Lonchura striata: one gene and its partners. The protein of the gene in region 1 purifies or fractionates together with the protein of each later gene. This does not show direct contact. Links are inferred from orthologs where the notes say so. Each region holds a gene or a part of one and is shown on either strand. Other genes may lie near its edges.

The links.
Region 2: the proteins of SNX9 (region 1) and DNM3 purify together in Homo sapiens (co-immunoprecipitation; 3 studies listed by BioGRID and IntAct, counting the BioPlex papers as one, with this or other methods). This does not show direct contact. The link is inferred for Lonchura striata from reciprocal best matches to the Homo sapiens genes SNX9 and DNM3.
Region 3: the proteins of SNX9 (region 1) and DNM1 purify together in Homo sapiens (co-immunoprecipitation; 6 studies listed by BioGRID and IntAct, counting the BioPlex papers as one, with this or other methods). This does not show direct contact. The link is inferred for Lonchura striata from reciprocal best matches to the Homo sapiens genes SNX9 and DNM1.

Annotation. Positions count from the first base shown.
Region 1 is NC_134605.1:54,035,885-54,043,220, reverse strand, and holds the start of SNX9 (sorting nexin-9), read left to right. Parts: upstream 1-4,034; 5' UTR 4,035-4,166; coding exon 4,167-4,178; intron 4,179-7,336. UniProt on the Homo sapiens protein: Involved in endocytosis and intracellular vesicle trafficking, both during interphase and at the end of mitosis. Required for efficient progress through mitosis and cytokinesis. Required for normal formation of the cleavage furrow at the end of mitosis.
Region 2 is NC_134611.1:587,265-595,063, reverse strand, and holds the start of DNM3 (dynamin-3), read left to right. Parts: upstream 1-4,788; 5' UTR 4,789-4,848; coding exon 4,849-4,994; intron 4,995-7,799. UniProt on the Homo sapiens protein: Microtubule-associated force-producing protein involved in producing microtubule bundles and able to bind and hydrolyze GTP. Most probably involved in vesicular trafficking processes, in particular endocytosis.
Region 3 is NC_134624.1:506,377-514,550, forward strand, and holds the start of DNM1 (dynamin-1), read left to right. Parts: upstream 1-5,163; 5' UTR 5,164-5,326; coding exon 5,327-5,487; intron 5,488-8,174. UniProt on the Homo sapiens protein: Catalyzes the hydrolysis of GTP and utilizes this energy to mediate vesicle scission and participates in many forms of endocytosis, such as clathrin-mediated endocytosis or synaptic vesicle endocytosis as well as rapid endocytosis (RE).

The sequences.
Region 1 (7,336 bases):
AATCAAATGCATGAAGCACAGTTTTTCTTAGAACTGCTTATTCAGAGAGAAATTCAGAGACTGAAAACTCACAGGAATTTGGGTGCAATTTTGTGTGCAATTTTCTAAAGCAGCTTTTCCAGGAAAGTCTGGACCTAAAATCCAATGGTACTGGCTGCCTTACTGTTTTTACAGTGATCTTCCAGCACCAGGTGCAGAGTAAGATTGGAAAGCATGTCTGTAATCTCCTGAGCACAATTTTGAACTGCCAGGCACAGTTCTGAGTAAATGAGAGGTAAAATCGTGCTTTCCTGCAAATGCCATATGATTCAAGATTTCATGTACTTTGTGTCCAAAAGCTCCCAGCATAAAACAAAGGAAAATATTAGTAATTTTTTTTCCTCAGAATACATTCTGTTAAATGTATTTTTCAGATACATTTGCAAGTGATGCCACTGGACATTGCTGTACAGAGCGGTGCACAAATAGGATTCAGCAACTGCTCCCTTCCTGCTCTGTGCAGATAACACTAGATTTCATACATGTGGCAGCTCCTATCATTTTCTGTCCAAATCTGGGGGAGGGAAGGATACAGAAGATAGGAGGAAGCAATATTTTATATTGCTATCTGGCAAACTTCTCAGAAACATTGAAGAAATGTTGTTAACACAATTCTGAAAGAAACTGCTGTTCAGCTGAGAGGAAACATGATGCCCAAAGAACCTCTTGGGGAGGAGTGGGTGAAGGTGTGCAGATATGACTTCTGAAGATGAAGAATACAGTACTTCTCTTTTAGATTCATAAACCAAATAAATTTTATTTTGAGGCTTTGAAAACGTGAAAAATCTCTACTCCCTCTTAAAACAAGAAGTGTGTATCAGGTGGCTAAGGTAAACATGATAATTAAAAGGAATAAAAAATAGTTGGAATGTTTTTGTAATTTCTTCCTAGTCATTGTTAGGCTTTCCTGATTAATGCAGTTAGAAATCTTGAACTAAAAGCATTTAGTGTGGAACTGATGTTATCATGCACACTACATTGTTAGGCTTTCAACCAAGAAAAAAAAAATCACTTCTTACTTTATAAAACACCTTTGAAAAAAAAGACCTAGGACAATATAATCTCTGTATGCCTCCTGCAAAGATTTCCCAAAAACATGTATTTGATAGCCTGCTCTATTTGCGAAGTTGTTGCCACTAGTGATAATTGTTGCTGAAAATGCCTCCAGAGCTGAGGTAAATGCCTCAGGGTCACCTCACTCACCCAGGTACAGCTAGGGGCACAGGCTCCCAGCAGGAACAAATGCAAGGTGCACCAACTCAAGGAGCTCCAGAGGACAGTAACTTATAAACACAAAACGTAGTTCTTCCACCAGATGGTTTTCAGTTTGAAGGTTATTTGAAGAACACTGTTTCTTTATCATTCCCCACCAAGTTTGCATAAGTCAAAACATACAAGGTCACTGACTTCCTGTGAGCTTGAAGCTACAGGCAGGCTTTGCTGAACAGAGAACATATTCAGCAAATGTTCTCCGTATCTCTTCTCAGAGTCCATCTTTAGTTTTAAAAATCTGCATAGCAGTATTGGCAGGAGCTTTTCATTTGATGAGGCTCTGCAGACAATCACTTCTTTGTGAACTCTGAGTTACTAGGAACCACTGCAGACCACCTAGCTGCAAAAATACACACCTAGTAAAAATCTGTAGAGAGAAGTCACTTATGTGCAGGGTAAGGCATTTTCTTCTGTTACTGTTTGTTTTTTTCTGAGGTGGAGATATTTATAATAGCATACATTGGGGCTTTAGTACAAAGTGAATAATTAGTCAACTGTGTTTGAAAGCTGATAAGCTTGGCACAGAGCACTATACTTCAAAACTACCAAATGCTTAGATATGTAAACAACCCCACTGAAGCCACTGAGATTTCTTTTATGTCTAATGTTAAGCAAACATCCAGTCCTAATTAACTAGGACACAGCTTGGTAGCAGAAAAGTAACTAATTTTGGAAGTTTGAGAAATTTTGGGTGGTTTCATTAGCAATTTGTGTGTATCTGGCTCTCTGTATTAAGAAATAATAAAGCTTACTGCTAAGAGATATGTTTACTCGCAATCCAAAGGGATTCCTGAGAATATCTTCATTGAGACAATAATTAACAGCAATTAATTGCAAACAGTATTGGAAAGATCCCATTTAAAATATTTTTTTTTCTCAGGATGTTCTCTCGAATGAAAGAAACAGTAATCTTTCCTTCATCCCTCAAATTTGTCAAGTAAGACTTATTTTCAAGAACACCTCACAGTGGAAAACTGTGAAGTGGAGGCTTTAAGCACACAGAGAGGCTGAACAAATCATGACTGTGTTCTTCATTCCCCAGATGGCAAGCAGAGCTCTGCTAAAGCACACTGGGTAGCAGCTGCATATTAAACTTTTCTGGCAGCTGTGCTGACCACAGGTAAAAAATGACACAGACTCAAGCTTATGCTGAAGCCACAAGTTTATCATATTTCACATAGCAAAGCAGCATCTGGAGAAAGGATAGAGGGTGCTTCACAGTTCTATCAGCTGGGGATCCCTAAAGGATACAGTGCTGGGTCTCTGGGTTTCATACCTCTCCCCTTTTTATAAGATGTTCACCAAAGGGCTGGATCAAAATATGCCATGTTGGAAAGATTGTTGCTGAGAAAGTGGAAGAACAGGGTGTCTTAGTACAGAAATGAAGTTACCTTCAGTGAGTTTTGCTTGTAAGGTATATGAGATGCCAGTCTATTGATGGACCACATGGCAAAACTGATGTTAAATACAATAGCTCATCTTTAAGGTGGTTTCCTACAATGCCACTTATGAGCCACACAGAAAGGTTTCACTTTAGGTACTGCTGTTACAGAGAGTAGGAAGTTGGAAATGTTGTATTTAATTGAATTCTGGAAAAGCTAAAACATAAGCAAATGAGTTTGAAAACTTCTGAAGTTAAGCAGTTCAATCACTCAAAAAGTGGTGGCAAATGAACAGCCAGCTTCCTCTTATTTCCTCATCCTCACTTTCCATGGAAACTATTTCACAGGTCCAACTAGGAAAATGTTTTCCAATGTAAAAAACTCTTTTAATAAAGCTCTCACTGTGAAACTATACCAATAGCAGAAAAAAAGCTTGTAATTCTATGGGCAAGGAAATATAGATGTAGACATTTATGCAGTTTCCCTACAGCTCACCTGCCTCCCAGGGCTCTCCCCGGCGTCCCTGGTGATTACACTGTGTATTTCCTTCCACAGAAAGGAAGTCTCCTGATTCCAGGCCAACCACTATAAATGGGGGTGCAGCTAAAGAAGCTGCACTTTTTGGATGATGCAGTACCTTGCATGATCACTGCTACAGTATTTTCAAATTCCCTTTGATTTAGCCTCCCACCTCATCTCTCCTGCAGGCTGGAAGTCAAGTGAGGTCGTAGGTATTTTTTATGAGATGGTCATAGAGTGCCCAACAGGAACGCTGCCGACCTTGAGCAGCTATCTCCTTGGTGCTTTTTGCTGCTGCTAACTGCTGCACACCAAGGCCCGGCCGAAACAGGTCAGGCACGACGTACACCGCCCTGGCAGCCGTGGATGGAGCCTAGCCGAGGGAAAAATTGCCTTCCTTGCTTTGAAATTTCCGTTCAAAGGCATCCGAGGGGCACATACCGCTTTCCTGAGGGCTCTCTCCCCCACGCGAACGAGAATTTGAAGCCGAACTGACTACAAATCAAAGCCCTTGAGGGCATGGGGGGTGGGCGAGGTCGGTCCGTCCGCCCGCCCCCATCGCCCCCGGGACCGGCCGGGGCGGCTCCCCCGGGATCGGCGCGGCGCGGCGGGTGCCTCCCTCCCCCGGCGCTGACGGAAGGGCTGCGGGCAAACAGCCCCGCCAGTGGCCCGGGTGCCGAGCCGAGCCGGCGGAAAGAGCGGCCGAGGCGCGGGCATCGCGGCGCGGCCACATCAGCCTCGGCCTGCCCAGCGCCGGCGCTTGGCTGCTGAGCCGCACAGCGGCCCCCAGGCGGCGGCGGCGGCGGCCGGGGACGCTGAGGAGGAGCCGCCTGCGCGGCCCAGCGGCGGCGGGCGGGCCGGACACACCGACCGAGCGGCCGAGCGGGCGAGCAGCCGCGGCACGGAGCGAGGGAGGGAGCGCAGAGCGGCAGCGCAGCCCGCGCCGGCAGCGCCATGGCCACCAAGGTGAGCAGCTCCGCGGTCGGGGCGCCCTCTGCGCCGGCGGGCCCGGCTGGGCGGGCGGGGGTCCCGGCTGGGCGGGCGGGCTGCGTGCCGGGGCGGGGGCCGGTCCTTCCCGCACCGTGCCCGGCCGCGGGACGGACGGGGGAGCGCCGCGCTCGGGCCTCGGCGCCGCTGCCCGGGCCCTGCTCGGGGCTCGGCGGAGCAGCGGCGACTCCGGGACGGGGGAAAGTTTGCTTTTCTGCCGTGTTTGTGGCCCCTCCGCCCCCACTCCTCGGCGGAATGATCGTAGTGTCCAAGAGCCGCCGGAGGCCGAGGGTGCTGCTCCTGCAGCCCGGGCGCCCCTTGCCCCGCTGCCGCCGAGCCGGGAGCGGCGGGCGCTGGGAGAGGCCTCGGCCACCGGCGGGCCCCGCGGTCCCGGCCCCGCCGCCCCGGCCCGCTCGGCCCCCGCCGCCCCGGCGCGTCAGGGCAGCTGATGCTTCCCCCCTCGGTCCGGGGCCGGCTGTGCCGTGACTGCGGTGGGAGCCCAGAGTCCGCGCTGCGCGGTCTCTTAATAGTAAGCTGTGATTTTACACGCCAAAAAAAAAAAAAAAAAAAAAAAAAAAAAAAAAAAAAAAAAGACAGGAAGTTAAATTTTGTTCAGTTCTTCAACAGTATCTGCTGCTAATGCAACTGTCAAAATTAGCCCATCCTATCTGAAAGCGTCCTCTTTCTAAATCAACAGTATTTGTTTACTATACTGGTTGATGAAAGCATCTCTACTTGTGTAGGTGTGAGTTAACATGCACCAGCAACTCATCTGTGACTTGTCTAAGTATCTCAGGAAGACCTTTTTGGTATTTGAAGTATTACTTTGAGTCACCTGATTCCATTAGCTTGGCCAGCAGTTTTAAAAACTTCCTTTTACTGAGGCAGTTCTCATACAGTGCACTATTTATGTTGCTCTTCTCAGTGCTGAAGAAATTCCGCATCTTGAATGTGTCAGATTTAATGTATAAGTAGCTGTCTCTGTAGCCATGTAAACTGATGGTGGCTCATGTTTGGATAAACTTTTTCCGAAGCACCGAGAACTTGATTTTAGGTTTCAAAATCACTTAGGCAGTTTTAAAATACAATGAATATGGTCAATATAGTGAAATTTATGTTTCTGTTGAGCTTTTAGAATATTGTTGATAGACTTGGTTTATACATTGGTGGGTTCCAGTAATTCATGAGATGTGTGTATGAATATTTTTCACTCAATCTAATGACTGTAGATGGCAAGAAAATTACTTCTGGTGTGTATATACTACATAATGCACAGTATGTTAGGCAGATACTGTATTAAACCAGTGTACTGTTTTTGAGCTCACTTTGAGGTGCAGTGTCCTCATGGGATCTGTGTTCTCTGCCGAACATATGATCCATTTTATTCATACATTTGGAAACTGTCGCTTTGCTTTTCGTTAAATATTTTTTGGAAACATTATGGCCCCAGACGGAAGGGCGTATAATTTCTGACTTCCTTCAAATCTTAATCTAATCCAGACTGGTTTAAAATCAGGTGGTGCAATTTTTTTCATTCTACACATTGCAAGTTATGGTAATGTACTTTGACTTAAAGGCTAAAATGATAAGTGATAGTCAGGAAAGAGTTGGTATTTTATTGCTATTATTTTATTATGCTGGTAACTCTGAGTAGTACTGAAGAGAAGCTTACTTTATTTTCTGTGAGCTCTACTCAGGAGATGGGTCCCTCTCTGCAAACTGCCCTATTTTGGATTTTATTTCATTCACGTTGTGCAAACATCACCAATAGTAAAGGATATATTGTTTTTTGAGCAGTGTGAGGGAGTAACTGGCTGAAAAAACAGTGTTTAGGAGCTCAACCAACTACTCAGTTGGCTCAGTCACCATTTCATTTGGAAAGTAAATTTTGTTTTTTAAATTGTAAACAAATTTCTCACTGTCTGTTTGTGCTCCTTCACAAATTGCCTCTTTTGAAAGAAATATTCAAGGTGTATTTGTATTTTATGTGAAATGTTAACAAAAATTAAACTGTAGTTTTCTGGAGTATGAATTTTTGAACTTTAATGGTGTCAAATACTGTATAGCTGCTAAGGGCGACTGACAGTCTGGCCTGGTCTGTGCTGCACGGGCTGTTAGTGCTTCCTGAATTGATTCCTGTTTAAACTAGAATATACTTTCCAAGGAAAGCTGGGGGTAAATTCAGTCTTGATTTTAATGCTTTCAGTGATAGAAAATCCAGTCTGTGTTTTTTGTTGTTGTTTTTAAATAATCTCTCTTGCTGTTGATGCTTCTTTCTTTTGAATCTGAACTTGCCCAGCATCTGTTTCCAGATTTATCATTTTCTCTACAAGATTTACTTGAATCAAGATTTGCTTGAATCAAGGCGTTAGATTTTGTGAGGATGGAAGATGCAGATAGGGGTTTCTTCCATAGCTAGCTTGTAATCCTTGGCCAGCTTGATAAACCACAGCAATTAAATTCCTAGAGTTTTCATGTATGAAAATGTGGTATACCATTGTGTAATGTGCTGACTCTTTTCTGTACCATTCAAAATCAATGCATTTCTTTTTGAAGCAAGAAAAGCTTTTAGGGGAAAGGACTACTATTTTCATACCAAGAAGCCCTTACTGATGCTTTCCTAGCATATTTGTTAGCTGGCAACTTGGCAGGGAGTCTTTTGTCCAAACAGTTGGGGTGGCTGTAGGCCTTAAGCACTCTGAGGGCTGTGGAGGCTGTGTCTGATGTTGTGAGCTAAATTAGCAGTGGCCATTGCTCCTTGTCCCTTCTTGCTCCTCATCCCATGCTGTATGAATATCCCAGGAGTCTACTCCATACACTTGTCAGGCCTGTTTTCAAGATACAATAAGTTGCTGAAATAGCAAAAATATTCACTGAATGGAAACAGTGGCGCCATTTCTTCAGTTCTGGGTAGTTGCAGTAGTTGAAAGTTTGCTCAGAGCTGACACAGAAGGTTGTGTGGGGTGGTATGGTTGGGAACAGGAGACTTTTATGGAGAAGGGTGAAAATATAAAAGGGAAATGGAAGAGCTGAGGCTTCTAGAGGCAATTCTTCTGTTGGCTAGATCCTTACTGTAGCTTGGCACTGGATTTCGTGGTTTGCTCAAGGTTATGTGCTCTAAAAACTGAAACAAATGT
Region 2 (7,799 bases), on another chromosome or scaffold:
TGGCAGCTGTTCCTGCAGCTACTGACAGCCTGACAACTTTGGTCTGGAAATTAATTTCAGCTGGAAAACTAGCAAATGCACGAGTGCAGCAAATCCTCCTTTGCAGGTAAAATGCTTCAAGGCTGGAGTAATTGACACGTAGTAAACATTTCTCTGCTGGCAGCCAAAACACGCAGCTAATGTATATATTTGGCAAGGGTGAATCTGTCGAGAGTTTTGGCAGTGTACTCATGTTTACATCCCTTGCTCCTCACTTCCTTCCCTTGCAGCCTAGGCACGCTGTCAGTGGCGGGATAGAAACAAGTTCTGCCGTCACTTAGCAACCCCCACTGGCACGGAGATGTTGACTTTTTCCTTTCTGGCTTTCCCAGCACAAAAAGAGAGGGGTGTGTAACTCACCCCACGGCTCAGGTGTGAGGCTGTGGCCAGCTGGGGATGCTTTGGGCTGGCCCAGTCCCTTCTCAGAGCATCCACGTCCTGCTGCTGCTCCAGAGAGCGAGACACTGGGAGTTGGTGGGTTAGCCCTGAGTTTCCTGAGCTTGGGTAGAAGGATGCAGAGAGGTTTTTTGGCCCAGGGTGGCTGTGGGCAGGCACTGATGGGGTGCCACATGTACACCCCATATGGTTTCACAGCCCGGGTCCCTGTTCTGGAGAAGAACAGAGAAGAGAATGACACCCCAGTTCCCTCTGGGGAGCAGGGATAAGGGTCATACTGTCATCAGCTCAAAGCACAGCAAGCAGCTGGGAGAGATTTTGCAGCAACAAAAGCTGCAGGGACTGAGCCCTGGGCTGATTCCCTTCAGCTGGGCAGAACATTGGCCACACGGCCTGGGGATTCTGTGTGACATGGTCCAGCACAACAAGGGCTGCAACAGCCACTCCCAGAGGCTGGAAGCACATAGGAAGTGTTTTTGTCCATGGAATCTTCCCTTGGAGAAGCACTTGGCTTATCTGGCTTTGTGGCCAAGGAAGCAGGCATGCTGCCAGGCTGCAGGGAGGGAGTGCAGCTCTTTCCTAGGGTGCTGAGGGCTGCAGGGAAAGATCTCTGCAGGCTGCAATGCAGCACGGTGCCCTTTTTCTACCCTGCAACGGGATGCACCCGACTAAAGAATGCAGCTGGAGGTTACAGGGCAGGAGAGAGGAGACATGGGACAGGGACTGTGTTGTCCTGCGATCAGTGAGTCAGCAGTGCCCCGGGCTGTGGGGGGGAGGCAGAAAGCACATCCTCTTTACACGGAGAAATGCTGCAGCCACCGTGATCACAGGCCTGCAGCCACTCTGGCTTTCTTTCATGGGCTTGAGTTCCATCTTTTGCAGCTTCAAGGTCTGAGCTCTTATCCTGGCAAATGCACAGGCATAATGCTGACAGGCACCTTCATGCAGCTCCACTGCAGAGCCAAGTTCTGCTGAGAACCTGGGAGCTGCCCCTTGCCCACACCTCCCCCTGCTCTGTGCCCATCAGCTGCCTGAAAACTCTGCCAAAACTCTGCGTTCTGACACAAGAAGGAGGTGAGGAAGGTCCCTGGAGCAGGTGTGGAGGAACCTGCCTGTTCTCATGGAAGAGGAGCAGGCTCTGCTGCCCCGGGCAGGGCAGCGTGGCTGGCTCTTCACTGCAGGCGTCTGCAGGTCCCCACTGGGCTGGTTTACGCAGAACTCATTTTCCCTGAAGGGAATTGCACTGCTGTGTGTTTGGGAAGCAGCCTGGGGACCTGGTCCAAATGTCCTCAGTGTTAACATCGCTGCCTGGTTAGGGAGAAGTGTGTGTGTGAGTTTGTGGGTTCAGCTGAACCCTGAAGCCAGGCTATTTTTTGCCATATATTTCTCTGAAAGTCGTGGCAGGACAAGCTTGCTGTCTGTTGCCTTGATCTGAAATGCACCAGAGGCTGTGACTGGGGGCCCCAGGCAGGCTGTGCTGGAGCTGGTGACATGTGACATCAGACCACACTGTTGGAGTCACCTTGGGGATCAGGGCACCCACCCTTCCTGCCATGCCAGGAAAGGTGCTTGGCAGAGGTTTTGTCTCCTTGCTGAGCCTGGCACACAGCAAAAGTAAATGATAAATATTTTATTTTATTGTATTGTATTATTAGGGGCACAACTGAGCACAACAGATTGTGTTTAGCTGGTTAACCAGTGAGCAGGGTAAAACCAGATTGTAATTAGCTGGTTAAGCAGTGAGCAGCACAGCTCTGTGCTCCTGGGGGTCACCCTTACTGCTCCCCCAGAGAACAATTTCTTGCGTGGCCCTCTGACACTGATTTAAGTTTTGTATTTCAGTGTTGTTTGTTACAAGAAGCTTTGCAGTGATCTAGTAGCACCCCTGTTTCTTTAAGTTAGCCACTCTGAATCTTGGCAAATTCAGAAAGCCAGGCTAGGCTCTGCATGGGGATTTGGAACAACTTGCCCAGAGAAATCAGTCAGGAAAAGCAGAGACCTAAAGATATGCTCGGGTGCCTCTCCTCTCTCCTTCTCTGCTTTCTTGGAGGTGTTGGAAAAATGAAGAAAACCTCTCACAAGCATCCATAATGAAATTGTTTGTGCTTTTCCCAGAAGGTGGGGAATCTATAATTGGCTGCTTGTGGCTTTTTTTTTCTTTTTTTTTTTTTTTTTTTTTTTTTTTTGGAGGGAGGAAAATGGATTTTTTTTTTTAAGTGATAGAGTTGTAGGGTGAATGCGGGCAATTAATGACTTTAACTCTGCTTCACAAGACAAAAAAATTTTATTTGGGAACTTCCCAGACTTGGGGGAATAACTCAAACTTTTCCTAATCTTAGTTGTTTTTCTAATTTATTTTATTTTAATCATGGAAGCAGACAAAGCTGTAATTTAAAGACCTCACAGAAAGGACCGTTCCCTGGATTATCAATCTGAAGGTGTGCATGGTGCTGCTCCCCAGGCATGGTGCCTTTCTCAATCTTCATTTGTCTCCTGTGGAGACACAATCCTATGGCCAGGCTGCTCTTCTATGGATCTTAATTATTTCATGGGGGTAGCACAAAGTGCTCTGGACACTCATAATGTTCTTCCCAACTTCCAGCCTCCATAGAAACCCACAAGCTGGAGGAAGGCCAGGCAGCTACTCCAGTGCCTCCTGGCACAGCTTGCTCACCCAGGAGTGGGGAAAGAAATAATCATGCTGCTAATTGGCATAATTATGTCAATAAGTCCCAGGCTCCCAACTAGACAGAAATGATAGCAAGGCTTTCCCAGAGGTTGTGATCTAACTGCAGCAGGGAGGAGAAGCCGTCTCTGCCGATTCAAAACCGTTACTTGTTTCCAGAGTTATAGGTCAGTCTGCTGTAATTTTTTACACTTATTGAGAGCTCTGGCCAAGAAGTTTTGATAATCCTCCAGATCGTTAGTCTCCGTCAGCCTGCAGGGTGTTCACAGCTCCCTTTGTTTTGCTTTTCACGCTGAGCGAGGCCAGTGTCTGCTGTAACAGAGAGGATAACTTTTATCGCTGCACGACTCCAAAGCCTGCCTTTGGGATATTTTCATGATGTGACTGCTGCCAGTAATCGCAGCTAAATCTCATCTCTGTTGTGTGCCTGAGCTTTTAGCTCAGCCTCAGCGTGCATTTTTAATTGAACCCGTGGCAGTGACATGGCTTGGACCTCAGTGTCACTTCCCAGCCTGCTCCTGAGCCATCACCTGCTGCCCGCCCTGCTGGATCCAGCTCCTCCTCGGAAGGTGCCTGACCCTGGCAGCGCTCCTGCCCATGCCTGGGCATTGCACAGCCCTTCCCAGTGGCCAGCTGGGGCTGGGCTCTCAGGGGAGAGGGGCAGCATGGTAGTCTCATGGTCAGCACAGACCTGGGTGAACCGTGCTCCTCGTGTCCAAGGTCCCAGCACGTGGTGTGTCCAAGGTCCCTGCACCATGGTGGCCTTGTCCTCAGGCAGGAACAGAACCACAGATTGGGTCGGGTTGTCAGGGAGCAGTGGGGCATCTGGTCCAATCTCCCATCTCATGCAGGGTCATCCCAGAGCACATGCACAGGACTGTGTCCAGCTGGGATATCTCCAGTGAGGGAGACTCCACAGCCTGTTTGGGCAATCTATGAAAAATAACAAGCAAGCTCTAAGTGATGTCCAGGTAGTAGAAAGACAAATTACTTATTGGTAAAATTGCCTTGTTAAGGTTTAGGGCTTGACATGTTTCAGTTATCTCAGACCTAGGGAGAGGTTACCAAAGGGGGGAAGGGTGTACCACTCCTAGCTGACACAAAGAATGCAGAATTTAGGGGCTACAAGGATATTTGGCAGAACACCCAAAATAAGGAAGCTACTAATAAAAACTGAGCAAATGTGCTGAAGTCAGCTCTAGCTGGGTAAGAGGTAATTCTGGCAGGGGCAAATTGTGACCATTGACTCACAGACCACTGACCCAAAAACCCCCACTAATTTAAGAGACTGAGCATGCAGACTAATTAGTACTGGATGCAAGAGGATCATTAACCAACAGAAGACAGAACACTAATTAATAAGGGAACTAAATAACTTGTAGCCAATAAACATCAACGCCTTTGGTTTGTTAAAGTCCACAAAAAGGGAAAACTTTTGACAGTTGTCGTGCTGGCTTTGTGGATTTGTCACCGAGCCATCTTTCTGTGCAGAACTACAAATAAATCCAACCCCTTGACTCTGAGCGTGGATGGGCCTTTGGCACAACGGGGGGAAGAGCAGATTTTGGGACAACCGTGGGACATGGTGGGACCGGCAGCGGGACCCGCACCGGAGGGGGCGTGGCCGCCCACGGAGCCCCGCCCCCAGGCCCGCGGAGGGAGGGGCGCATGCGCAGTGCGCCGGCCGTTACCTGTCAGCGGCGGCGGGCGGAGGAGGCGGCGGCGGGATGGAGGGGCTCATCCCGCTCGTTAACCGGCTGCAGGACGCCTTCGCGGCGCTGGGCCAGAACTGCCTGCTCGACCTGCCGCAGATCGCGGTGGTAGGCGGGCAGAGCGCTGGCAAGAGCTCCGTGCTGGAGAACTGCGTCTCCAGGTGAGGGGCGGCGGGCACGGCAGCCCCGCGCCCCCCGCTGCCCCACACGGCCCGCGCTGTTCCCAGCGGCCGCGGCGCGCGCCCCCTCAGAGCGGCTGGCGGGGGGAGCGGTGTCGGGCGGGGATGGACCAAGGCGGGTTTGGGGGACAGCTCGCGGCTCCGAGCCCACCGTGGGTGCTCGGTCCCCACCGAGGATGCTCGGTGTCCCTCTCCCCGCGGTGCCTCGGGCCCGGCAGCGCCCGTGATGCGATGTGCGCGCTGCGGGGAAGCCGCCGCGGCTCCGGTGCGAGCGCCCGCTCCGGGTGTGCGGGGGTGCCCGCTGCCTGAGAGGAACGAGGTGTTTACAGCCCAAACCCTAATTTCGGTGGGATGCTGGCTCTGGGCGGCTCATTCCTCCCATCCCATCGCATATAAATTCGCGCCGTCCCAACGCGCCTGTGGGTATTCGAATTGTGGCGTCGCTAAGGTTGGAAAAGACCTCCAAGATCGTCAAGTCCAACATGCGCACCGTTTCTAACGAATCACTGACAGGAAAAGGGAAGCCTGACAATTCAGGCTGTGCTTTTTGACGGCCAGGCAGTGCCTCTGGAGACATCCCGAGGTAAACATGGGCTTCACGTGCCGTTTGAGGAAGTTCCTGCTGCGTTTGCCTCAGAGAGCCGCGGAGGGAGGTGATGCTCCCGCAGCGGTGCTGCGATCCTAGTCCGGATTATACGGTCGAAATACTGGTGCGTATGATACAAGGACTTTGATGTGCGGAGGTCTTCAGCAAAGGTAATATTAAATGCTGTGACACTCCACAACCTGGCCATGTGTCAGACTGCGATAGCTCTTGATACCCGGTATAAAAATGCTGTATAGTGGTTCTTTGGCTCTCCCTCAGAACTGACTGTGTTAAATGTCAGTTCTTCCTCTTCTTTCTCCTTGAAGACTGCAGCTAGCTACTGGTGTTGACAGTACTGGCGAGTCTCTCAAGTTTGGAAAACATAAATGAGATCCTCGGAAAGCACAATTGGCTATCAAATTATTACTGTTCTCTTCAAACGAGTCCATAAAAAGTATTTTGGTAACCTTCTGACTTCTTGAGCTATGTGTCCACAAAGCTGTGCAAAGCACATGTGCTGAGGGGAAAAAGTACCTTCATTTTTCTTGTCAGTGAGGCTGTTTTGGTCCCTGGGGTCGGGGCTGAGTGAGTGGGCTGTGGGCTGGTGTTGGTCTCTGGCTCCAGCTGTGCTGATGGAAGATCATACTGCTCCCAGATGCTCGTCACTGCTCGGCTGCCAGAGGGATCTGCTCCATCGGATCTGCAGGTGGAGCTGCTCTTTTGAGCCGCCTGGATGTGCCTGGCTGGAGCAAAAGGTGAAAACAGCAGTTTGTGCTGATCCGGCCTGTTTAGCCAGGAGGCTGGAACCAGCTGCACGAGTGAGATGTGGGCACTTCTAGGAGGAATTAGGAAGGAGAGGTAAGGGCAGTAACTGTTTTACTCGTGTAGTTATTCACTGTGCAGCCTGCAGAAACTTCACAACAGTCTCTTTAGAGAAGAGATTACAGGCTGCTATGAAACACCAGAATGTCTCTGTCACATGGGATTTGGAATTTGGATTCTGTCAGCCTGGTTTCAGAGTTCCACATCGTTGTTTTATGGAGTAACTTCTTGAGATTCAGCATGAGCCGATCTGTAGTACCTCCTGACTTGCTACCTTAGAACCTGTTTTAAAAATTACATGAAACTACATAGTTTCAAACCTATTTCAGGAGACTTGAGCACGGATATTTTGTTTGCGCCTTTCCTCCAGGCTGAGTACGTGTGGTCAGCAGATGTGCCCTGGCTAAGCTGTGAAAACTTGGTTGTGAACCCTCAGAACCAGATTAATAAATATCCATGAGCTCAGAAGAGGATTTTGCTTGTTAAATCAGCAGACAAATGGCCTGTGTCTCTTTTTAGTAAGCCATAGGGTATTCCTGTTTTTATGGGATAATGAAGCTGCTCTCTGCAAACAAGTTTGTTTCATCCACATCTGTCTTAATATGGCTTGTAGAGGTAGAAAGTCTCCCTGTAGAACCATGCTGCCCTAATTTCTCTTTGTTGCTGGTATACTGAATGACCTCTGGCAACCACAGGGCCAACTTTAACTAATACTAACACAGCTTTGAAATTGACACAAAAATAAAACAGACCTTGCATTGCTCTGAAGTTTCAGCATTAATTCTCATGGCTTTTGTTTAGTATTTTTGGTTTGGATTGTTTTGTGGTTGTGAGTTTTTTTTGTGTTTTGTTGGTTTCATTTTGGGTTTGGTTTTTTTTTTACCACATGAATCATTATCATTAGTAGATTTTGAACTCTTAGCCTTCAGAGAGATATTGAAGATCTCTTTTCTTCAAGAATAGCTGTAATTGGTATGAGGAAGGCACGGTATCCTCCAGGGTCTTGCTACAACCGTGCTGCTGGTTGTTAACATGTATTGTCGGTAGAGCTGGGGTGAGGTTGGCAAGGCAGTTTTAACTCTAGGATCAGGTTGTTATTCCTGCTCTCTGTAGCCACTATAGCACTATGGGTGGGGTGTTTCAGTCTTCCACAAGACCTTTGGTTGTGCAAAGATTACGTTTTTTTTGCACTTGGACAGTAGAAACTATTTTCTGACAGGTGGTATCGAGGGTTACAGCTTCTTTATGGCTCCTAGGAAACATGGTGGCCTGTGGAGGGTTATCCACTATCTCGTTTATGCACTCACTGCCATCATTTTTGGGAAGGGTTGTGAGGAATCTGGTGTGGCACAGTTGTGTGGGCTGGCAGATGGCCTGGG
Region 3 (8,174 bases), on another chromosome or scaffold:
GCAACAAAACAGTGTGTCAGGCTGACAGCTGAAAGGTGCTGTCAGTGCCCAGTGATCATTGGAACGCAGACCTTGAGGTGCCATCCACTGACAGTTGTTTTTTCCTGCAAAGAACATCTCCCTTTCAATAATTAAGCATCTCACTACTCAGTGTGCAGTGGCAAATACATAATGGGAGAATACACAGAACTTCAAAAAGAGGCACAATGCAGACTACAGCATTATCACTCAAAACCAACCCATGTATCCCCTAGGCTTGGGAGTGCCTCATTGGCAATGGGAATGAATGAAACAGAGTAAGATTTAGAAGTTCAAGCTAAGAGAAGGACCAGAGAACATCCTGCATTGCAGAGACTGTAGTCAGTGGAGTTGTTGGATCATGACTGTAAGGCAACCTGCACTACACCTCTGTATGATTAGATCAGGGTTATGAAATCCTTTGGCAGATAAGAGGACAGAGCATATGAATGCTTTTTATTCAGGAGCTGGATTGTATTATACAGCCAAGTTCTTGCTGGGCTATATGAATTTTTTTCCAGGGATCAGGCATGCAGATAACCAGAGATTTCTAATTTCCAGCATATGACTGCACTGTGCAGTTTTATGTTTTAATTTTGGCTTTGAAAAAGACTTGGTATGCAACCCTTGGTGAAGCCACATCACTTTTGAAAACCCAAGTTTCTCAGCGCCTATGACAGCACCAACATACTGCAGTGCCCACAATTTCCTCTGCAATCTGCAAGGATGGTGTGATTACTCATCCATTTCACCAGGATATAACTAGTTCTCACCATAATGTATTTAAGCCCCACAAACTTCTTGGAGAAAAAGCATATGGAGCTTTAAAGTACTTTCTTTTCCTAGTTTGGGGGTCTATGTATTGAAAGAATGGGTCAGGTTTCACCAGACATGGTCTTAACAGCTGATATTAGTTACTGGAATTACACTGTTTTTCCATGTCTGTTTTAGCTGGAGGATGACTGGATTCACACAACATTTCAAACCAAAATGATCTGTGCATTAAAGGATGTTTTCCCTCATTCTTTGTAATGTAGTTCTAGAAACCTAGTCCTAGTCCTTGACAGGCCCACAAGAGGTAAAAATAGTTTTTACATCCATTTTACCATGTGGTCAATCAGCTCCTATTAGCGACTTTCAGTCTCACAAGCTAAAATATATACCAGGAGCTATTTTATGACATCTACAGGATGCAGAAAGCACAGAGAACTCATCTTTGTTGCTCTTAAAATATTAATTTAAAATCACATCCATGCACAGATCCCATTCTTAATGGAGTATAACATTCAGCTTCTTTCTTTCCTTATGTATACTCTGGCTTCTGGCAAGTTACACTCACAATAATACTGTCCTAGTGTCTTATACACCAGATTTACCTTCTTTTACCTCTTTTTGGGGGATTTTCACACCAATTCAGTTTAAGCACAGAAGATGCAGAAGCATCTCACTATGTTATTCTACAAAGAAAAGCATTCTATTTGAAAACTCAAAAATTAAAGACTGCTTTTCTTTCAAATAGCTTTTGCAATTAATAGGAGCATTAGAAATCAACTTTTTTTCTCTGAGTAACTGATACCACAAGAGATTGATGATGTTACTGTGGTACCATTGCTACTATAGTAGCACTTTAGTACCTAGAAAATAGATACTTAAGCGTTTTCTATCTCTATATGCAGCTTTAGATAGTTATGGAAATGTAAGAGGCTAATTTTAGTTAATATTTTTAACTATTGATCAGCTGTATCATGTAGTATTAGTATGGACAATGACAATCCTAGACCAGTTTCTTTTTGGAACTTTTAACCATTCAATTAAAATTTTTACCTGTGTTTATAACCATTTTTAGGAACCCCAAAGGCCAGAATTATCCACTTCAAGACCCACAGTGAAATGTTCTAAACATTCACACTACCTGGAGTCAGCAGAAACAGTTTGCAAGGAACTTAGAAACTCACAAGCTAATTGCTTTCCACATTTTTGCCTCTTTTTTCCTCTGAGGACTAGATATGTTATTTTTGCAAGGGCAAGGAATGAAGGACAGAATCCAGCTCTCAAATGTCTATTTCTAATTATGCTAACTAAACTGGGAGTCCTATTTGCATGAGGTGACAAAATCAGCATACACAACTGTGGTTATGTTGATAGCCATACATAGAAACACACATATGCTTGGCCACATGCATTTTTAGGGATTCATGTTAAAGTACATTCAGAAATATTTATAGCACAGGGCGGGGGGAATCTTTCATTCCTCTTGTTTTTCTTTGCTCACATCTTCAGTTTTTCTACTAAGATAAAAAAATAGATTTTTCCTATTCATTCCAGTTATTGAAATTCCTTTTGTTTTTCCTGCTCTGTCTGCTAAATGCTGCTGAGTAAGTCACAGGTAGGAGGTATTACAGAATCAAAAGGTATGTTTGCTGAGACATCCCTGCAACTCAGTTTGTGGCAGGGGAGAAAATGGAAGGCTCTAGGAGCGATTCCGAGTGCCTGCAGTTCGCTTTTTCATCAGAGGGAGGAGTAGGTTCGTAAAGCTTCAGAAAATCCAAGCCTCGCTGTCTGGGATGCTCGGGGTCAGTCTCTCTGGGCTGGGCGGCTGCAGTCGCTGCAGAAGCGTCCAGACTTCACACTGTAAATGAGTGGTTTAGGGTGATGCTGCAGGCAGACACACTGGAGCTCATCTGCTTACAAAAAGCTCTGCAGGACAAAGAAGCTGGAGCAGATTCTGTGCATCTCTCAGTTTTACACTAATACTGATCCATGCAAAATTCGCCAATATTTCTGCATGTTTTTCCAATTCCATAATTTCTTTTATTGCTTTCTTGTGTGCCTGGAGAGCACCCTATTAGCTCCTCTCATCCCTCCTGTCCAGTTTTGCCCTTTAAGATTTCAATAATGCCAAAACCCCTCATATATCCCCCAAAGGACCACATTTCCTAAGAACTAAGTATTAGTTTAATGGAAAAATAAAACTAGATAGTGTAGGAAAAATCACCTGCAAAGAAGTCATGCATGAGCCTTTATACTGTATGAGCTCCTTAACTGGCAATATAAATCTTATTTTTCCCCTCAGTCTTCAACATCAGCTGTTGATATATTATATTTTCAATAGTCTGTCACAAACATTTCTCAAAGAAAATGGATTAGTTTCATTTTAGCTTTTCCAAAAGAAATATCACCTGAATGATTAGTTCTAGAGCTGACTCAACCAGAACAAAATATCTACCCAGTGTACATGGGGATGAAGCTAAGGAGTCAACCTATGTGTGAAAGCCAGACCCAAAGACTCCATAGACTGCAACCAGAGACAAACACGTCTCCATAAGTCAGCAGGACTGATGGCCCACCCAGGTCCACAGATGTGGGGGGAAGCCCCAGGTGAGGCTGGCCATGGCCACTGAGAGTTTTTAGTACAGCTGGTAAATTGTGTGAGGTGACTGAAGTGATGCAACTGGGCAGTCTTTGTATTGCAGTTGGTGAACTTCACGGTACAGCGAGCCCTGGGAAAAGGTCAGTTTTCTGCTTTTGGTTCCTCAAATAAAGCTTCAAAGATCCTCATGGTCTAAAGTTCCCTGAGCTTCAGCTCTGATCCAGGGAGGAAGGTGACATCATTATTTGAGCCTTTGATACTCTTCACTGTTCTTTTTGTGGTGACCTCTTACAAGGAGCAGCTATCTATAGCAGTTTTTTTCCAGAATCCTTCAACATAAATTATCTGAATGGCTGCAGGGATGCTCAAAGGCTTTTGTCCACAGTCTATATTGAATTCCTTAAGCTTATTTCTTGAGATTTACTGGGTAATTTGCTGAGAGGAAAAAATAGCATTGACAGCCCCCAAAACTGCCCACGTATGCCCTACAATGGTGTTACCCGTACAGATGGAGCAGCTCCCTTCCCTTCCTTCAGTGTTCTTACCTGCACATTGGTGATGTGCTAGAGCATGGGGCAAATTCATCCCTCACCATGGTTGCCTCAGTTTCTCTGTATGTCCACATAGGTATTTTTGCATGGATTAAATTTGATGGACACCTGTGAAATAGTCATTATAATTATTATAACTAAAAAGCTGCTGTACAAAACAAAACAGACAGCTCAAAATCTGTTGCAGTTTTTTGTACTTCATTTCCCCCTCCACCCCCATCCCTCTCTGAGCTGTGAATAGGAGTCTTGGGTAGCACGAACTGAGGGGTGTTTGAAATGCGACACTCTCCATCCTTCTGAGTCATTGCTAGCCATCAGATGCTTTTTTGAACACTTGTTTTCATTGCTGTACTTTGAAATCAAATATGGCCTCATGTTATATTCTTATTAAAAATCTATCCCTTTTAAAAACCATAAAACCAAGCTGTTCCCTCTTTATTGCAGACAAGTAATTTTAAAAACAAAATCTGGGTGCATAAAATGAAGCACCTGTTTGTGTTTCTCTAAAACAAGCCTGGCAACACATCCACTGTTTTACAGCTATAAACAGAAATTGATACATTTTACATCTGTGTTTGAATGAAGCATCAGAATCATAGAATGGGTTGGAAGAGACCTTAAAAAAAAAATTCTTATTTTAACCTCTGCCATCTTATTCTAGCCAGATGCTCAGAGAGTGGTAGCATTTTTGCAAAGCTCCAGTTTAATAATCTCAAGTGTTTCTTGCATTTTGGTGATTTCACAAGTGCTGTCTCCACACAAAGCCCTCCCATACAGGTGCTGTGACCAAGCCATGGCGCACTGAGTAAACGTTGCGGCTGTGAGGATCACAAAGTGCAGGTGTAGGAGCCGAGCCAAGTGGGTTCTTCCAGCACATCTTCCCTGCCCGCTGCAGCGCTGCACGGCTGGCGGCAGTGACCGCCACAGGGCTTCGGCACCGTGCGGGGCTCACCCACAGGTACACCGGGACTGACTGCGGGGCCAGCACACCCACACCGGCTGGGCCACGCCGGTGTGCCAACCTGCCGCACACAGAGGCAGCCCCGGGTAACCTGCACTGCTCTGGTTCTGGGAGCGAGCCCCGTTCCCAGGTCTCTGGGCACAGACACCAGGGCCGCGCCGCCCCGATCCCGGCCCCCTCGGCCCCTCACGGCCGCCGGACTACATCTCCCGGGATGCAGCGCGGCGCCGGTACCTTTAACGCCCCCTGGCGGCAGCACGGGGCGCTCCACAGGCGCGGCGGGCGGGCTGAGGCGAGCGGAGCCCGGGCGGCGTCGAGCGGGGCGAGGGGCGCGGGCTGGAGCCGCTGCCCACCGGCCCCACAGCCGGGGAGGGCTGCGGGAAGGGTTAGTGCGAGCTCGCCTGTGCCAAGAGCCGCGCCGCAACCATGGGGAACCGCGGGATGGAGGATCTCATCCCGCTGGTCAACCGGCTGCAGGACGCCTTCGCCGCCATCGGGCAGAACGCCAACCTCGACCTGCCGCAGATCGCCGTGGTGGGGGGGCAGAGCGCCGGCAAGAGCTCCGTGCTGGAGAATTTCGTCGGGAGGTGAGCGGGGGTGTCCCCGGGGGCGCGGGCAGAGCTGCCGCATGGCCAGCGCGGTGCGGGGGCAGCGCGGTGCGGGAGCAGCGCGGGCAGAGCCGCCGCACGGGCAGCGCGGTGCGGGGACAGCGCGGGCAGAGCCGCCGCACGGGCAGCGGCTCCGCACGGGCAGCGGCTCCGCACGGGCAGCGCGGTGCGGGAGCAGCGCGGGCAGCGGCTCCGCGCGGGCAGCGGCTCCGCACGGGCAGCGCGGTGCGGGCGCTCTGGCCGCGGTGCGGGGACCGCGCGGAGCGGGGACTGCGCTCCGCTCGCGGCTACTCCGCTCGGCGCGTGTGTGGTGCGCGGGCAGCGCTGCAGGACGCCCGGGCGCTGCGGTGCAGGGGTACGGGGAGGCGCGGGAGGAAGGCAGGGAGGGAGGGCTCGCTCCCCGCCTGGGGGCATTCCGCAGCGGGGTCCCCGCCACTGCCGCACCTTGGCGGCCGGTGGCAGCCCCCCCTCGTCCTGGTGTTACATAACGGAGGAGGCTGAAGGGGCTGTGGGGGCCGGCCCCATCCGTCCCCTGCTCGGTGCGGGGCTCAGAGATGGATGTTGTCGCTGCGGGGGGAGTGATGCGGAGGGTGTTTAAGTTTAATCTGCTCCGTCCCCCTCCCCCAGCCCAGGCTCGCTGTCCTCCATAGCGGATGCCATGTCAGGAGCTGCGGGGAGGCTATAGGAAGGACGGGGTTATAGCTATCCTATATGCTCAAATCCCCGGGTGCTACCATTTTGTGGCAGGCAATATACTGATGCTTTCCCTTCATGTGACCTTCGCATTCATCATCTGCAACTTGAGTAAATTGCAGACCGCGCTGCTTGGGTATCTCCTCCAGTGCAGACACACAACACCTGGAGGGAGGGGGGGAACGTTCCTCACCTTTTTTCTGGCCTTGTTAATTAATTGTATTAAGTTATATACGGGTTTTAGTTATCAAAGTGGTTTTTTATGCTGTAAGGAGCACGCAGGTTTCTGGGGACTTGCCTTAAGAGCAGTGATTGCTGATACCTGGTCAGATGCTTGCGTGGGCTTTTCTCTTTCAGCAAACTGCATTTGTGACAACATCTACTGGATCTCATTTCCCAACCCCCACTTTTTCTTTTAAGCTGTTTGCTGTTCGATGGCTTATAGGGCTTTTCCACTGTCAGAAGGGTCTGTGGTGTGGATTAACTGCTTGCTTAGCTGCAAGTAGCCAAATTCTGGACCCGTGCAAGGGTATCTTTGAGCAGTGAGTGCTGGGTGTACTAGGAGGAAAGCTCAGGGGTTACATCTGGTACAAAGAAAGCATGGTCAAAATAAAATGTTTTCTTCTCTGCCATAGATCAAAGAGTTTTGAAAAAATAAGAATATAAAATTTGAAGAGTTTGGTATCTCTTCTAGCTAACTTCCAAAGGTCCATGCAGTGTATCCCTGAGAGATGCTGGGATCATGCCAAGGGCCAGACATTGCAGAAACACATTTTACTGAGTCTCAGGTCATAGTCCAGAATCCACTTGTTTGTCCACAGTCACAGAAAAGAAATAAAATTCCTGCCACCCAAGTGAGAAACTTGCTGGGCTGTGGCTTTCGAAGAAGGGGAAAATGGATCTTCTGAAGTCTTTGAGCAAAATGGGTTCACCTGTTGGCCCTGCTGTTTTCATGCTTTCTAAGTACTGGCAGTCAAAGCTCATAAATCCTTTTTAGAGGATCTGTGCAGGCAGTGCTGCAGTGGTGTCGTAGATAATGTCGGGCTGCTGGGCCAGAGGGGGATTTGTTGGAGGAAGGACAGTCAGTGTATTGGGGTAAACTGCTCCTCTCCTTTAGACCAACCACACAAGAGGATTTACTAATCCTTGATGCATCTACACTGGCACTAATTTAGAATGGCATTTTATCTGCTTGGTGGAAAATATATGAATTCAATTATCTTCTGTCTCTTTCTGATGACTCCAGTCACAGGAGAACTTATGACCTCACCGTGTCCCATCAGCTGTCTCTCTAGCAGCAAGTTACAGCGCTGTGGCTTTTCGAAAATGAAATAATTAAAGGTCCCCTGAGCAGGAGCTGAGAGCTGTCGGTAGAAAAGCATTTAGAGGAAATAATTGGAGGGGAAATGGAAAATGTCAGTGTGAAAAGGTCTTTCTCCATTTGATACCCCTGAGTGCTGGCTAGTTTAGACTGGTAACTTGAGACCTCTTACCACATAATGTATGTGTATATGCTGCAAATCCCAATCCTGTTAAAATAGTGTTGGGGCCCTGCTGTAATGTATAGTCTCTTTTCTTTCTCTGTGGGTATTGGTAACCATGATAAGGAGCTATGGAAATAGTATCCAGAATGAGCATGGTTCTTCAGTGTAATTGTGATAGGGGATGTTTTCTTGTCTGAACAGCCATAAGAAGAAACTGTGTGTAGACCTACTGTGTACAAATACAATTATTGCTGTAGTGTGGACATGACATATGTCACTGCTCCTGCTTGATACCAGGATGGTGGTGCAGCTATTGCTCAGCAGCTGCTTGCTGCACAGGGAATGTGAGTACTGATGAGTTTCTCTCTGAGCGGATGGAAATCTGTGCAAGACCAAATGCTGATGTGGTTGGTACTGGCTGATTAGCATGATGCAGACACTTCAGCACAGGGGCTGGAGGCCCTGCCAGGGCTGGTTTCTCTGCTCAGG